Linked DNA regions of Lytechinus pictus. The protein of the gene in region 1 interacts with the protein of each later gene in a pairwise test. Links are inferred from orthologs where the notes say so. Each region holds a gene or a part of one and is shown in the gene's direction. Other genes may lie near its edges.

The links. The genes of interacting proteins can lie anywhere in the genome.
Region 2: the proteins of peroxisomal bifunctional enzyme-like (region 1) and catalase-like interact in a two-hybrid assay, tested with the Homo sapiens proteins (2 studies listed by BioGRID, with this or other methods). The link is inferred for Lytechinus pictus from reciprocal best matches to the Homo sapiens genes EHHADH and CAT.

Annotation. Positions count from the first base shown.
Region 1 is NC_087257.1:19,522,758-19,530,531, forward strand, and holds the start of peroxisomal bifunctional enzyme-like, read left to right. Parts: upstream 1-4,765; 5' UTR 4,766-5,061; coding exon 5,062-5,213; intron 5,214-5,710; coding exon 5,711-5,747; intron 5,748-7,514; coding exon 7,515-7,626; intron 7,627-7,774. UniProt on the Homo sapiens protein: Peroxisomal trifunctional enzyme possessing 2-enoyl-CoA hydratase, 3-hydroxyacyl-CoA dehydrogenase, and delta 3, delta 2-enoyl-CoA isomerase activities. Catalyzes two of the four reactions of the long chain fatty acids peroxisomal beta-oxidation pathway.
Region 2 is NC_087263.1:3,450,417-3,458,208, reverse strand, and holds the start of catalase-like, read left to right. Parts: upstream 1-4,788; 5' UTR 4,789-5,200; coding exon 5,201-5,569; intron 5,570-6,665; coding exon 6,666-6,746; intron 6,747-7,792. UniProt on the Homo sapiens protein: Catalyzes the degradation of hydrogen peroxide (H(2)O(2)) generated by peroxisomal oxidases to water and oxygen, thereby protecting cells from the toxic effects of hydrogen peroxide.

The DNA of each region.
Region 1 (7,774 bases):
GAGTTTCAGGTCACATGTCAAAGGTGAAAGGTCATTTAGGGTCAATGAACTTAGATTATGTTGGGGAAATGAAAACGAAATATTAACCAAGGTTAAGTTTTTTTAAATGCCATAACTCTGAAAGTATATGGATCTAGTTCATGAAACTTGGACATAAGGATAAGCATGAGTGAACATCCTGCATGAGTTTCAGGTCACATGACCAAGGTCAATGAACTTTTATTTAGCCGTGTTGGGGATGTTTGTTGAATTGCCATCATAACTTTAAAAGTTTAAGGATCTAGTTCATGAAATGTGGACATAAGGGTAATCAAGGATTACTGATCATCTTGCTTAAGTCTTAGGTCACATGATCGATGTCATTTAGGGTAAATGAACATACTATTTTATCATCATATGAGTGATGTTTTGAATTATATAATAATTATTCTACAGTGGGTATCAAAAAAAAGTTTACACTTTGAAAAGGCCCTGGAAATTAAAAAATATACATTATATGGGTATTTTTTCACATATAATCTTGGGTTTGGGTCTCATCTATCCAATGGAAGTAAAAGTTTTGACAGAATGTTACACTTGAGTGAGCACTGTCCATTTTTGTAAAGCTCGCAGAAATCTATTTGCGCAGAAATAATCGTTTTCACGCAGTGTCAAGGGGGAAGGGCGAAATCAAATTTACCCTGCGAAACATTTTTCATACATTTCCTTTGCACTTTTAGTCAATTGAAATAAAACGGATACATTCAAGCATTTTGTAACAATTTTGCCACCCGAATTGAAATTTCAACACTTATTAAGCACAACATTTACCCTTTTCGTGCCAGCTGGATCTGAGGACATAACTGAATCTGAACAAAATTTATATCAGACTTCTCCAGCATTTTTTTCACTAAATCTTTATCATTTAAAGTGGGTTTACATTTCATTTTTCATTTAATACTTGTTTCTCCACACTTTTCCAAGCTTGACAATGATTAACAGATGAATGTAAATCAAGCCTAAGCCATTTCATGTAAATCACAGCTCAGTGTAAAGCAAATATCGTCACGATGGCCTCGGTGTGTGAGGGAGTGGGGTGGGGCGCAATGCACTCTTTGAAGTGTTTTGGGCAAGGAAACAAGTTAAAAAAGGTAAAAGAGTATTCAAATCAATTTTACTAGCTAAATTCCACGTGTTCTTCATGATTAAGGTCTACTTTTATTCGCATAAATATTTCAAAATTCTGCGCAAATCATTTTTCACTCACTTTTCATAAGTAAGTGGTACTCACTCAAGCGGAAATATTTTTCGACAGTTATATCGTCATTTGCTTAAATTGATCTGTACCAATGTTCAAATGTTGAAAAATCTTCAGGATATTACAAATGTATAATTTTACAGGATTTTTTTCTAATTGTAAACTTTTTTTTGATACGCACTGTATAGTGATATTGAAAGTCAGCACTGCTGCTATATTGAATTGCGTAATGCAGGTGAGACTGCCAGAGGCGCTCCACGTGTTTTTTATCACCCGAAGATAACATTATTTGTGACCAATAAAGGAGTATGGTGAAAAGGACAAAAAGGAAACTCAAAGAGAGAAAGCATGTATCAATAAATGAGGTGAATGTAAGACAAGAGAGAGAGAGAGAGGGAGACGGAGACGGAAGTGACAGAAAGAAACCGGAATGCTAGAGGGAGAAGAGAGAACATGGAGAAAGAAAGGGGATTGAAGAAGGTGGAATTGTCATGTCTAAACCTTAGAGATCAGAGCAAAGTATTGAATGCATAATAATAAGAATAATAACACCAACAACAACAATTATGATAATAATACCTTATTCAGGGATGTTTTATAAGGCAGTGAAATAACTTTAGCAAAAATATTTTTTTTAATTCAGTGTGCTTAGAATCAGTGGCGTAACAGGCGGGGGGGGGGGGCAGGGGGGCAAGCTGCCCCCCCCCCCCCCTGTCGGAGCTCACCGGGAAAAAAAAAAACGGGAAAAGGAAAAAAAAGGGGAAGAAAAGGAAAGGAAAGAAAAAAGGGGAAAGGGAAAGGAAAAGGGAAAAGAAAACTAAGAAAAAACATAAAAAAGGGAAAACGGAAAGATAATGGGAAAAGGAAGGAAAAAAGAACAAGTGAGAAAGAACAATTCGCCCCGATATACAAATACATTAGCATGATTAGTAAGACAGGGAAATAAATTAAAGATGACAAAAAGGCAAACAAAAGCGGGAAATAAAGGCAGAATGGAATTAGCCAAAATCTAAATTGGAAAATAAAGAATAGGGACAAGATAACGTACACTACCGGGCTGCCGAGGATTGAGATAACGAGCGGGAAGGAAAAAATGGTGGTATATAGCATAATGTCGTATGAAAGTCTATCATAAACTTGCTAAATCTCCAAAGGCTCTGTCCAAGAGTGAAGACCCCGTGCAGTAGGGGCTCTTCATCTGTAACCTTTAATGGGTTCTATAACGGGCCCCTATATGGACCCTTCCTGCATTAAGCTTTACGTTGAAGCACTGGCGTACCGGGGGTGGTTCCACAGCCAAGGGGAAATAAAAGAAAATAAAGGAGGCAGCGAAATGAGATGAATGAGAAAAAATATATGACATGATATTTGCTATAATGATGTAAAAATCTATCACATAATTAGAATTTCATTTTAACAGGCCTTTTTTTTTCTGGCTCGCTTCGCTCGCTGGCGACTTTTTACAAATTTTCCCACATTTGCTATGGTGTGCCCCTCACAATATTTGGATGATTACGATACACAACTGCATTGAATTTATGTGTTGTGTTAAAGCTATATAAATATGCTCGCAATTTGATTAAAATAAGTGGCCATCTGTAAGGTTTAATATGGCTTTGATATCAAGAAGTTCCGGGGCTCTGCCCTGGACTCCACCCATAAAGCACTGTTATATGGATGAGTTTGGACCATGGCCCCCAAAAGTTCAACAACCAAACAAAAAAATGAGGAAAGAAAGGAAAGTGTATTATATTTGTATGAATATCACGTTAAAATATATCTTCATGTTAGATTTTCATGAAAAGGTGATTTTTTTTTATCTCGCTCGCTTCGCTCGCTCGGGACCTATATTAAGCTTCTTCTTGCCAGAAGCGCCATACTCGGCCCCCTCGAGCATATAGAGCTTCGCCCTGATGCTCACAATCATAACAAAAATCCTGTTCACCGTGGCGTACAAAAAAGAGAAAAAAAAGGAAAGAGAGGAGGGTGAATATGATATCATCTTTTTAACATTATGTCAAAATCTATCACAAAATTGGATTTTTGCAATAAAAATGTCAAAAAAAATTTGCTCGATCGCTTCGCTCGCTTATATATATATTTGCCCGATACGCCATATCGCCCCCTCAAAATGTTTGCCTTAGGACGCCATTGTCTGTTCCATGATATGACCGGGAAATTTTTGGCTCTTGCCCCCCTGGCCACCGACCCCTGTTACGCCGCTGCTTAGAATATAGTCTGTGCATGAGCTATACCACCCCTTCATCCAATTCTCGTTTCGAGAATCATTCATGTTGATTTGATCATGAGGTTTGCATTTTTAACATAAGTAAATATGGACTTTGAATTACCATTTGTCATGTTTGTGGAAGTTTGATCCTAGTCATAACTAATGTTTTTCAAACGGCAAACATGACAAACGGGAAACATACTTCTCGACATAGCTGCAGGAATATGACGAAATAAATATTGAGTAGCCAGTACTTTTTAGCACGATAGTGTACTTTCAGTTATCAATTTCTGAACCTGTCTCCCATAAGACAGAGATGAGGGAGAGACCCGGGGAGAGACTGCATTTGAATCGCTCAAAATAGATCAATGGATCATTTTGAGAAAAATGGATTGAACCATGGACTTAGGACCATGATTGAATTAAGAGGTGGTTATGGTCATTGATATCACTAATTGATGCTGTAGAGATCCTCAAATTGGCATTGAGACCAAGATTTATGATGCCACGTATCTGCAGATATTAGAAAGATCCCCTTTCATTTCGAACATGTATTATTTCACCTTATAATATTCTCTTTTCCAAAGTCCATTGGTATATATATAATAAGTGTAATCTGGACATGGGAGGATACAGGTTTCACAAAATGGAGCAAAGAGATATTTTATTTATGTATTTTTTTGCCTATCACTCGTGTCAAAATTAAGGGTATACATATATGTTGGTGAGTGACATGTCCCATCTTCGTTACATGGCCAGTGTCAGTATTCTCTACATTTTAATGCTTTCGTCTTTCTCATTGTTTGTCCAATGAAACATTAATTGATCCCGGCAGTCAAAAAAATGAAAGCATATGTTCAAATGTGTATGTCCACAAGTAGGTTAGCCGTAGGTTAGTTGTCCGGTATATATTCTGCGGCAATGAAATGTCGGGCAACACAACCGTCAGCGTCAATGCCTGAGCACGAGAAGGGAAATCCCCTGACACGCCCATTGCCTGCCTGTGGGACACGCCCCTCGAGCCATGGACGGATCCCTGGGAATTTCATGTTCGTGTTTGTTTACCAATTGTCACATTGTAGATGTAGTCGTATACAATGCGCCTCGTGAAATACACAATATACACGTACAGCAGTCTCATAATGTTTCTTGATGAAAAAATGAAAAGTTGATTCACAAAATTAGATGAAATCAAATGATATAATATTGGTGTACTTTATGAGAAATTGGAATGTTCAGGACTAAATTTATATCCTGTTTTCTGAAGTCTATTTTGGCGTTCTACTTTGAATTAGACTAGGTTTTGTGCATGTGCAAAGTTCATTCAGGAGCGAAGTGTCAATACGAATTTCGGGCTCAGGAAAATTGGACTTTGCCAATTCACAATCCAATATATACGGTGTCTAATGACCAGTGGATTGTTACAGTCGATTTACATCAGCGGCTGATCTCTGGATTAATGATCGCCAATCGTAATTTTATGATATTTGCATTGAAAACTAGTACCAGCATATATCCGATCTAGAGACTAGACGGTACTGTGTCGGCTATTTTCACCCTCCACTACCCGGTGCATTGACGCCTGCCTCGCGATATGTTACGTGCTAAGAATTTGGTTCAACTCGTCATCAAGTCAAATCTGTGTACAACAGGCAGTGTACGTACAGCAGAAGCAATGGCGACTCTCTCGAAGCGTGGACAAGTTGCTGTTGTCACATTGAAAAACCCACCACTCAATGTTCTCAGGTATTAACTTCTACTCTGACTAGTTATACTGCGGCAGCCCGAACACAACATTCAACAAAGTGTCATCCGGGTTATATAGTGTAACAACTCCTAACTAGCAATCATCATATTCAGGAATTTCAAATGTTTAAGATTTGATGGTATGAATTTACAAACTCATGCTAAAGTTTATCAAGTGCACCCCCCCCCCCCCCGCGGGCATACACATGAATTAGGGAATCGTTCTGTTTTTCAATATGTGACTAAAAAAGATGCCATGGTCATATACGATGGATATAGGTCTACATCTAGTAATGTCTGTTGATGTAATTTAATCTAGATTATGTTCAAATTGATTTTGTTCAAGGTGCAGTAGTAGTCCCTCAAGATTTTTGAACAAAATTACATTTTTTCCAAAAAGTTTCTTCTGGTAAATTAGATGAGTGTAACTGAAGATTTTGTTCATTGGAGAATAATAAAATGTTCCGTTTCTATCCCAATCTCGTGTTGTCTTGCAGCTATCCAACCAGAGCTTCAATTGTTCAATCAATAAAGGTGAGATCTAGTCTTCCCCTCGAGAAGGCCCAACATTTTTTTTTTATTCATACACATACCCCGTTTAAAGGCATACATGTATCAAATAAAGTATTGAGTGGAATATGCTAATTGTATGGACCATCCAAGAATTGCAAGTGTAAAATGCCTAAAAAATGTATTGTAGGCCTAATTACATAACAAAAGCCCCAAATGTTAGGTGTATGAAAGCATAATTAATTACTCATTTATTTCAATCAAATTTCGGTAAAATTTACCTACAAATAAAGAAATTCAAAGATCAAGGAGAACCAAGTGGAGTAAACTATGATCTGTTGAAATTCTCAGCAGGTAAATCAAATCGGTCTTGTAGAATTCTTGTCTCTTGTGATTTGTTGAATATCATGACTCCATATATGTTCACAGTAGGCCCTACATAGAGGAAGAATAATTTTTTTTTTTTGAAGACCAACACAAATATGGTGTTTTATACAGAAAGAAAATCTTAGAGCTCTGGCTATTTATCACATGGGCTATTCCACGGTTACTCACGTTACATTTGGAGACACCTTGACTCATACTTGGAGCTGTAACTCCATTATTATTGATAGGAACTAAACATCTCTTTATCACAACATAGTACGCAGTCTGACTATCCTTTGTATAAAAACAAAACTTGGGAAATTTCATTATGCTCCTGGCAAATCTTTGAAATGTGTTGGTTACTCATGTTACATGATTTGGACATGCATAAAATGAAGAGTGGACATAAGTGAAAAGTGTCCTCATGCAAGGCTTTTATGAAAGTTGATTATATCCATTTCAAAGAAGTATATTAGGGAGACAAATTTGTATATAATTAAAAAAATAAAGAACACATGGTTTTTACTAGGGGTGCAGATAAAGTGGTTACTCATGTTACGGTTCAGATTAGCTATATGTACAAAGACACATTGAGCTCATGTCCACCAACCTATGGAATTGCCCACATGCTTTTGAGCTGGCTGAATGGGTGGGCTAATGTATTATCCCACACTTACATGTAGATTTTAGGTTGAGTAGGCCTATTATCTTTTAAAGTTTCAGATACAATTAAGGCTACAGTATGGTTCCAGCGCTAACTACTTGTAGGTTAGAGACACTTTGAAAGTCTATTTGATTTTGAAATCTTTTCAAATACTCTTACAGGAATAATGTGTGTTTATTGTATTGCTTGTCAAGTGCCCTACTTTAAAAACTGTGCAAACAAGTGCACCAAGAATCAATACAAATTATGTATGTGAAAGGGTATCCATACAATACTGTATTGACTTTCATATTCAAGCTAATTTTGTGTAGACTCTGTGTAGTGTAGCAAAGGTCTGGGTGGACGGAATTGTAAATGCTAGCAAACCTTTATACACCAAGAAGCCACAGGTTGGTTGTCTTTTAACAGAGTTAGAATCTAGCTTAGCATCTCTAATAACCATTAAATTTGACCAATGATTTTATTTTTTTTCCTATGAAATATGCCTATAATAGATAGAATTATCGCACCTGTATCTAATCAATGTTAATGCAGAATGAATTGCAATCAAACACAATTTCTACCCCAAAAAAATCAATTACAACATGATTTTCAACCATTCAGAAGCACATGTAGAACTTGCATGTTATTTTACGGTTGGATTGAATGCATCCTTTTGAGCAACAGGGCCCATGGCTAATAAAATCTATGCGGTTTACTGAGTTAACATCCATTAAACTAACTTTATTTTTCTCCTTCCAATCCCCCTGTACTACATGTAGGAAGCAGAGCAAGATGCATCAGTGAAGAGCATCGTCCTGTGTGGTTCGGGCAGATCATTCTCTGCTGGCGCTGATATCACTGAGTTTGCCAATCCAGATCTGGTGTTCAAAGGTAAATGATAAAGATATGAAGATTAAACGTTACTTCTGCCTGTTTACAATGAATTGTGGAGTATATTTCTCAGATTGGTAGGGAAGAGTTTCTTTTGTAAGCCCAATAGTTCATTTTGGCCATGCTGTAAGTTTTGGGGTTTGCTAAG
Region 2 (7,792 bases), on another chromosome or scaffold:
ATTATGGTATTAGACAATTGGAGAGATTAGACTGCCTGGTACTTAATGATTCAAAATGACTATTAAACCTTGAACTTGCATTTATTTTTATGAATGAAGATCGTGTACACTGTACAATTTGCACATCATGTACGTGACATTCAATTTGTACATAGGCTGAAGTGACCTTGTTCCATATCGATTGTCTAGGGGCAATGATATAGGTCTATTTGATTTTGATAAAACTTTGACCTGAAGGTCCGTGATGAATAGCACGGTGCCACAATAGACGAAATGTTTGTTCAATTCATGCACAGATTCACAAAAATGCCTGTCATTCATTTTAAGTTTTATGCTGTGACGTACACATTATGTCAGGAATTATTTGCAATTTATACCGTGTAGAATAATATTCTTATTCCCCAATAAGAATAATAATGGTGATGATATGAACATTTGTAATGTGCCATTATCCATCTTGAGTGTATTGGTATTGGGCAGGAAAGAAAGGAAAAAGAAACATGCGAAGGGGTGAAAATTATATTTACTAAAAAGCATGTCTGTAAAGACAGATTTTAAATGAGATTTTGAAGGTGCTTAGAGAGGGATTTAGATAACTTGTGGAGATTTATTTTTTAGGAATTGTCCAGCTAAAGCTATGGTTACACCGGAACCGAATCAGCTGCGAATCCATTCAAATACATGTATTCGGGTGGTTTTGGGAGTATTCTGTTCACCCTCCAAGAATGCGAGAAAATTCAGGAATATTATTTCGAAACCATGATCAGAATTCGGCTAGAAGCGGTCTGAATTTATTCGATGAATTTATTCGAGAGAATTTGGTTTTGTTGTAACCCTGGCTTTATTGAAATGATTGAGATTGTTTTGCAGCAAGTAATAAAGAATTTCACAATCCACTGATAATACTTTTTCACCTTTTCTACAACACAAGTTAAGAGTAAAAAAACAATAATTTGACCTAACCTACTCTTGTGTGGGTTTGACAGCGATATAAACAATTTTGTACAAAATCCAGATCTAGCGTAAATTTATTGTTCCTCTATCCTCCTTTTTTATGATTGCAGCCTTCACAGATAGGCTTATCAATTGTCAAGTTCAAAAGAAGTAATTCAGGTCACTTTACAGGTTCAGGTAGCTATTAAAAGATTGATTCATTGTAGGTCAAGTTAAAGATTATTCTCATGATCAATAGGTTGTTTTTACATTGACAAAGTCATGTGAGCTGTTTTGTTTTTATTTTTCAAGGCCTCTGTCCATTTTCTTTTGGATTTTTTTTTAGCTGATTGTAGGGAATAATTTTGCCTACCAGAATTTTTATTAGTGTTTTGGTAATAAGAGAAAAGCTCTCCCAATTAAGATCTGTATGTACAGTTCTATATAAGAAACTGCTTTTTTTTGTGTAGCTCAGTATTAAAAATCAGGAGCAAATTGCAAGGCAATGCTAGGAAAATATACCTCCTCGATCACTTTGTTACCAATTTTACAGCACTATGTTTGATGCAGAGTTGGTAAACTGGCTTCAAAACAAATTTGGATCAGTCGTCAATAAAGTTAATATTATATTTTTCTGCTACCCTCTCAGCATATATACTCTTGAATTATTTATATTGACATGTGCTACAGTATCTTTGTTTTGTTATGATGGAAAGAATGAAAAATTCAATTTCTGAACCAATCTACTGCATATTCTGAACCAATATACTGCATTTCTGAACCAATCAACTATTTGCACTTTGATATGGATTTCATGAAAAGCGCTATATAAGACTAGGTTATTATTATATTGTATTGATAACAAGTACTAAAGTAATGAAACATGATTGATGTTTAGATCACTTTTAATAAGGGAAATGACTTGTAAAAATTATATTCATTATCTACAGCTTGTAGTTTCCTTTCCTGTATCTCACGTAACAGTTCTAAATAAAAGTTTCATTTTGCACAGAGCGGAGAAAGAATTCAAGCAAAGCCCATGTTATTACTATAAATTGATTTGAAAACCTGTCAATAGATAAGAATCAATTTGATGGGATAAAGTACATGTATAGACTTTAATAATATGAAGTATAAACTTAAATGAAGATTAAGAATTGAAATGCAAGACAAAATTGATTATTTCCGATTCTTATTATTCCCAGTTCAATACTGCGAGACGACTTTTATTGAACTCATTTATGCAAGATGGCTAGGATGGCTATTTAAAAAAATATGTGTACATCATGTCGTCCAACAATTGAATAAAATATGAACCTTTTTATATTTTATGAATGAGCAAAAAAAATTCAGGTATTAAATTATTTTTTTTAAATTGCAAAATTCCCAGATCAATACTGCAAGACAACTTGATTGAAAATATCCATTCTCGCAGTCCAAAGACTGAATTGCAATGGTTACAATGTATGTACAAGATAAAATAAATAATACAATTAAACATTTGATTACAATTAAACATTTGATTCGAGAAATAAATAGTAAATGAAATAGTTACATGCATGCACAATTGAAAGTAGTACTTTTTGGAACAATTATTAATGAGAAATAAAAGTGTATTCACTGGGAATAACAATGCAATCTAGGAAGTATGATATTACTAGAAAGTTATTAAAATTGAATATTATTATACAAGAATGCTTGTATTTTGAAATTGGATGTTTGTAGATTGATATTGCACAGGTTTGAAATAAAATTGAATGATCTGGGTTAATATATGGTAAAAATAAAATCAAACTTAAGTCATGCAATCTTTACAACTTTTACTGAACTCATTTATGCAAGATGGCTAGGATTGCTACTTTAAAAAAAGTGTACATCATGTCATCCTAAATAAAAACCTGGGCCACGTTACATCAGAGTTTAGACTTACATGTATATACATGTGATGTCATAATCTCATAGCGCCCTCCCTCAAGAGGATATAGGATAACACACAAACAGAGTTGTTAGAAATGCGCCAGCTAACAATCACCAACACACGCAAGGTAATAAATTGCTTTATCCTTTAATAAAGTGGTTTTGATGAAGTCAATGCATGAAGTCTAGTACATGCTAACCAAAATTCTTGATTTTGATCAAGGAGATATCATATCTCCTTGTTTTGATCAAGTGTTTTGAATTGTTACATATATAGGTAATAACATGCACCATTGCATGGCTTTATTGTGATAATAGGAATTCTTATGCAACAAGGCCTGGAACAATAGACAAATTCCAAGTTGCCATCTTTCTTTGAACCCAATATTATGAAAACAGCCTGAAAAAAAAGTAGTCTGAAATATAACAAAGGACGAGGTATAATACTATAGGGAGATATTTCAATCCAGTCCCAGTGCCAAAGAGTCAAGCCACCCTTTCACACAGTAATTTTTTTTTGTAATTTGAATGATGATTCCAGTGAAAAATAAGGCTAATGACAAATTTTAGCATGTGTGAAACCAAACCAGAACATGATTAGAATCACGCCAATCATAATCACGAATTCAAATTCTACTCCGGAGGTGAATTCCAGTTAAGTTTTACTCGAATCACAGTTTTCGAGTGAGCGTTCGAAAGGTCCGATGATTCTAAAGACAAATTGCAATCATCATTACAATGATGATTCAAGATTCACGTGTGAAAAGGCCCAAGGTTTATTTTGTAACAGAGCAAAGTCCAACCGTGACTTTGTGTAAATATTTCCTTTAGGAAGTTTTGTAATGAGAATTAAAAAGGGAATGGTAGGACAGTTGATATACTAAATTTCAAGTTTTTTTTTTTTTAGATATGAATTACATGTAGGTTTTACATTTTACATTTACACGAATCCATGTAAGACTACAACAATCTCCAGGCCTACATGTACATGTATATGGTTGTGTTTGTATTAGGGTCATTTCATGTTCTGATCTGCTCGCTGGATTTTTTTTTCAATTTTCATTTTGAATTCTTTTTTTTCTGATATCTGTTTCTCTACTGTTTCTGCAAAATTCATGTTTTGAAATAATTTTTCCTATATGTATTTCATTTTACATTTCAGAAGCCCTTTTCACTTGTTTCTGTGAAATATTATACACATTAAAGCAATGTGAAATGATATCTTGGGATGTGTTTGTTCTATTCAAGCTGTGTATGTAATGTACCTTTAAATCCCAGGCAAAGACTGAATGTTTACATGATACATTACATCATGTGATTGTGGTAGCATTGTCATCTTTTCTCTTTCAACTCAAATATTGACTCATGTGATATACATGTGTAAAGTGCAGCTTGTGTAATACACTTACGTGTTCTCATCCCCCACTTGTATTGCCATTTTGAATACATAACAATGATTTTGCAACATACATTTTATTTGCTTTTCGTTATGTATGATGGGGGGCCCTAAAGCTACGCACTTTGTTTTCAAACACTATCCCAATTTTAATATTTCAACAAATTATCTTTCACTAATTTGTGGCAAACATTCTAAAGATCGTTAACAAAGAAGAAAATATCGCAAAACTCACTAATGCAAAAATACCGCCGTGTTTTCCAAACACCTCTTGATTTCGCCGCCCAATGTAGAAGGGGTTCTAAAGCTACGCACTCGATTTATCATGCAAAAAAATAGTATTTCCTGTGCCTCAATTTCTAAAATATATTAAAATTATTATAGGATAAAATGAAATTAAAGCGAATATAACTCCAAAATTCCAAACAGTTGTTGGTTTTCTCTGCATTTAGAGATTTACTGCAGCCTCTGTAGAAAAAATTGAATAGGAATCGTTCGTCACTGCAGTCACAGTTCCACACACAGAGTGCGCATTTGCCATAAAAACTGTATGCGTGATGAGTGGTGCGTAGCTTTAGGACCCCCTACCATACATGTAAATGGCAGGAGGGGGGGTCAATGTAATTTCTTTATTTCATATACAATGATGTACATGTACATGTACTTTACTTTTATTCACAATCGCTTGAATGAAGTTACTTAACAGATCTATATTTAAATGGAATGATGGATAAATGGATAATGAAATGAAAGCATTGAGTGAATGAACAGATGGATGTGAACAGATGGATGTATTGATGGATGAATGAAGAAAGGAAGGAATGGATGGCTGGATATTATGATAGATGAAATAATGGCCTTAATGCTAAGTGAACAGATGGAATAATGATTGGGCAAATGAATGAATGTAAAGAAGAACAAATGAAAAAAAAAGAACCTTTTTATATTTTATGAATGAGCAATTTTTTAAAAATTATTAAATTATTTTTAAAAGATGACAAAATAAAATCCTTTCAAATTGATATCTTTCAGGATCCCGATATGTTCTGGGACTTCATCACCCTTCGACCGGAATCCACTCACCAAGTCTCCTTCCTCTTCTCTGACCGTGGCACGCCGGACGGATACCGTCACATGAACGGCTACGGAAGCCACACCTTCAAACTCCGCAACAAACAAGGCGAGCACGTCTTCTGCAAGTTCCACTTCAAGTGCGATCAAGGTATCAAGAATCTGAACCGCCATCGTGCTGGAGAGCTCTCGGCAGGCGACCCCGACTACGCCATCCGTGATTTGTACAATGCCATTGCCACCAACAACTTTGTAAGTTTCTACTTTGGTTTGGAATTTAGAAAAACTACAATGATAATAACATTTGTGGGCCATTTTAATAATAATAATGATTGCTGGATTCATGTAGCGCTTTTTTGCCGGAGGATACAAAATGCTTGCTATAATTACCCCGGCTTTAGCTCAAGCTACCATCACCAGCGCTCATTGCATGCAAGGAATTAATCCTGCTGTGTACCCATTCCCTCACACAGTGTGGATAAATTTCTTGAAGGAAAACATGCCATGGCTGGGGTTCGAACCCACGACCCTCTGTTTGAAAGACAAGAGTTAGAACCACTAGACCAAGACACACCCACAATTTTTTATACTAATGGTCAAAAGTGTGGGCTGACTAACTATTGCAGATAATGAATTGATTAACAAAAAAGATACTAATAATGTAAAGAGGTGAATTTTAAGTAATTATTTGAATATCTTAAAAGTAAATTTAAATTTCAATATTCTTCTTATGATCATTTAGAAATAATAAAGTAGCAAAATGTTCAATGCAGAGATAAGCTCAGTTACCATTGTACTTCCACTGTCATGTTATCAAGCCAAGATTTATTTTGGTCCCATGTACTTGTTTCTGTGTGTAGTTCAACTAAGCATGAGCTTATCCAAATTTTTTGTTTTTAAATATTGGGAAAAGCACCATATTATAAGTAATAAGTATTATTTTTATTGCAGGGGCGGATCCAGGATTTTCCAAAAGGGGGGGGGGGGCAAATTTTTCTGAGGAAAAGTTTGACAAGCCCAAAAAAAGAAAAGTTTTAAACCAAAAAGTAATGATATTTCGTCCCCGAAAAAAATTATAATGCCACTTTTACATTACAAATTACAATTTTGCTTCACAAGAGGGGGGGGGGGGGGGGCATGAGCCAGCTCGTGCCCCCCCCCCCCCCTGGATCTGCCACTATTATGTTATTACTAGTAGTAAATATTAAAATATCTCTTTGCTAAACTTTGACTTTATACAGTAGACATCCTATTTAGTGTTTTGAGAGACAAGGCAAATTTCGAATTATGTCATTTTGTATAAGTTTAGTATTTATCGCTGTTCTCTCTGATCCATTTTCCCTTCCAGCCATCCTGGTCCCTTCACATCCAAGTCATGACCCAAGAACAAGCAGACAAGCACCGAGATAATCCATTCGACCTTACAAAGGTAATCATCTTATTATTAAAATGCATATATTTAGTCTGGAGGTACTTGATCTACATTAACTACCAGGGGCCAGTTTCATAGTAGCACTTACAACTGTGGTTGTAACTTTACCATTGTGGCAACTACTATGGTAAGAGGGCTCAGTAGCCAATCATGGTCAAAGTGTCCATGGTAGTTGTCATACTACCCTAGTTACTATTATTGTCTTTATTTTGAAATGGACCCCAGATGGCCTATTTTGGTCCATGTTTCATTTCATGTTACTGGCTCTTAGTGTAATTGTCCAGAGGATTTATCATTTGAACCAATTATAACCTGACAGAATTGAGTTAAACCCTTTTGATCCATGATTCATTTTATGTAACAGGTACTTGGTCTTATTGTGACATTGGTCTAACTTTAGGAAATGACCTGGACCTTCATGAAGGTCAGATACAATGTATTTTCATCATTGTTGTTACAATATTTACTTTTGTTATGAAAAGGTATGGTCCTTGAACAAAATCTTTCTGACTCACATCGACAAGATGACCTTAAAGGAGAATGAAACCCTTGAAACCAGCTGAATCCATATCAAAGAGAAAAATCAAAGAAACATATTGTTGAAAGTTTGAGGAAGATTGAATGAATAATAAGAAAGTTATGAGCATTTGAATATTGAGATCACTAATGCCATGTAGATCCTCCCATTGGCAATGCGACCAAGATCTGTGATGTCACACACGTACAACTCCCTCATTACTTAAGTACTTATTTCACTTATATTCTCACTTTTATAGAGTCTATCACAAGGTGAGGTGTTCTCTTTATGAGAGGACAAGTATAGAGGTTTCACAACATTATATCATTGATGAATCGTTTGTCATATGATTAGAATGAGCAAAAAGAGATGTTTTGGGGTATATTTTCAGTGTCCAAAAGGGGAGAGTTGTTCATCTGTGACATCATAGATCTTGGTCGCATTGCCAATGGGAGGATCTCCATAGCATTAGTGATCTCGACATTCAAATGCTCATAACTCTTCTATTGATAGTCCTATTTTACTC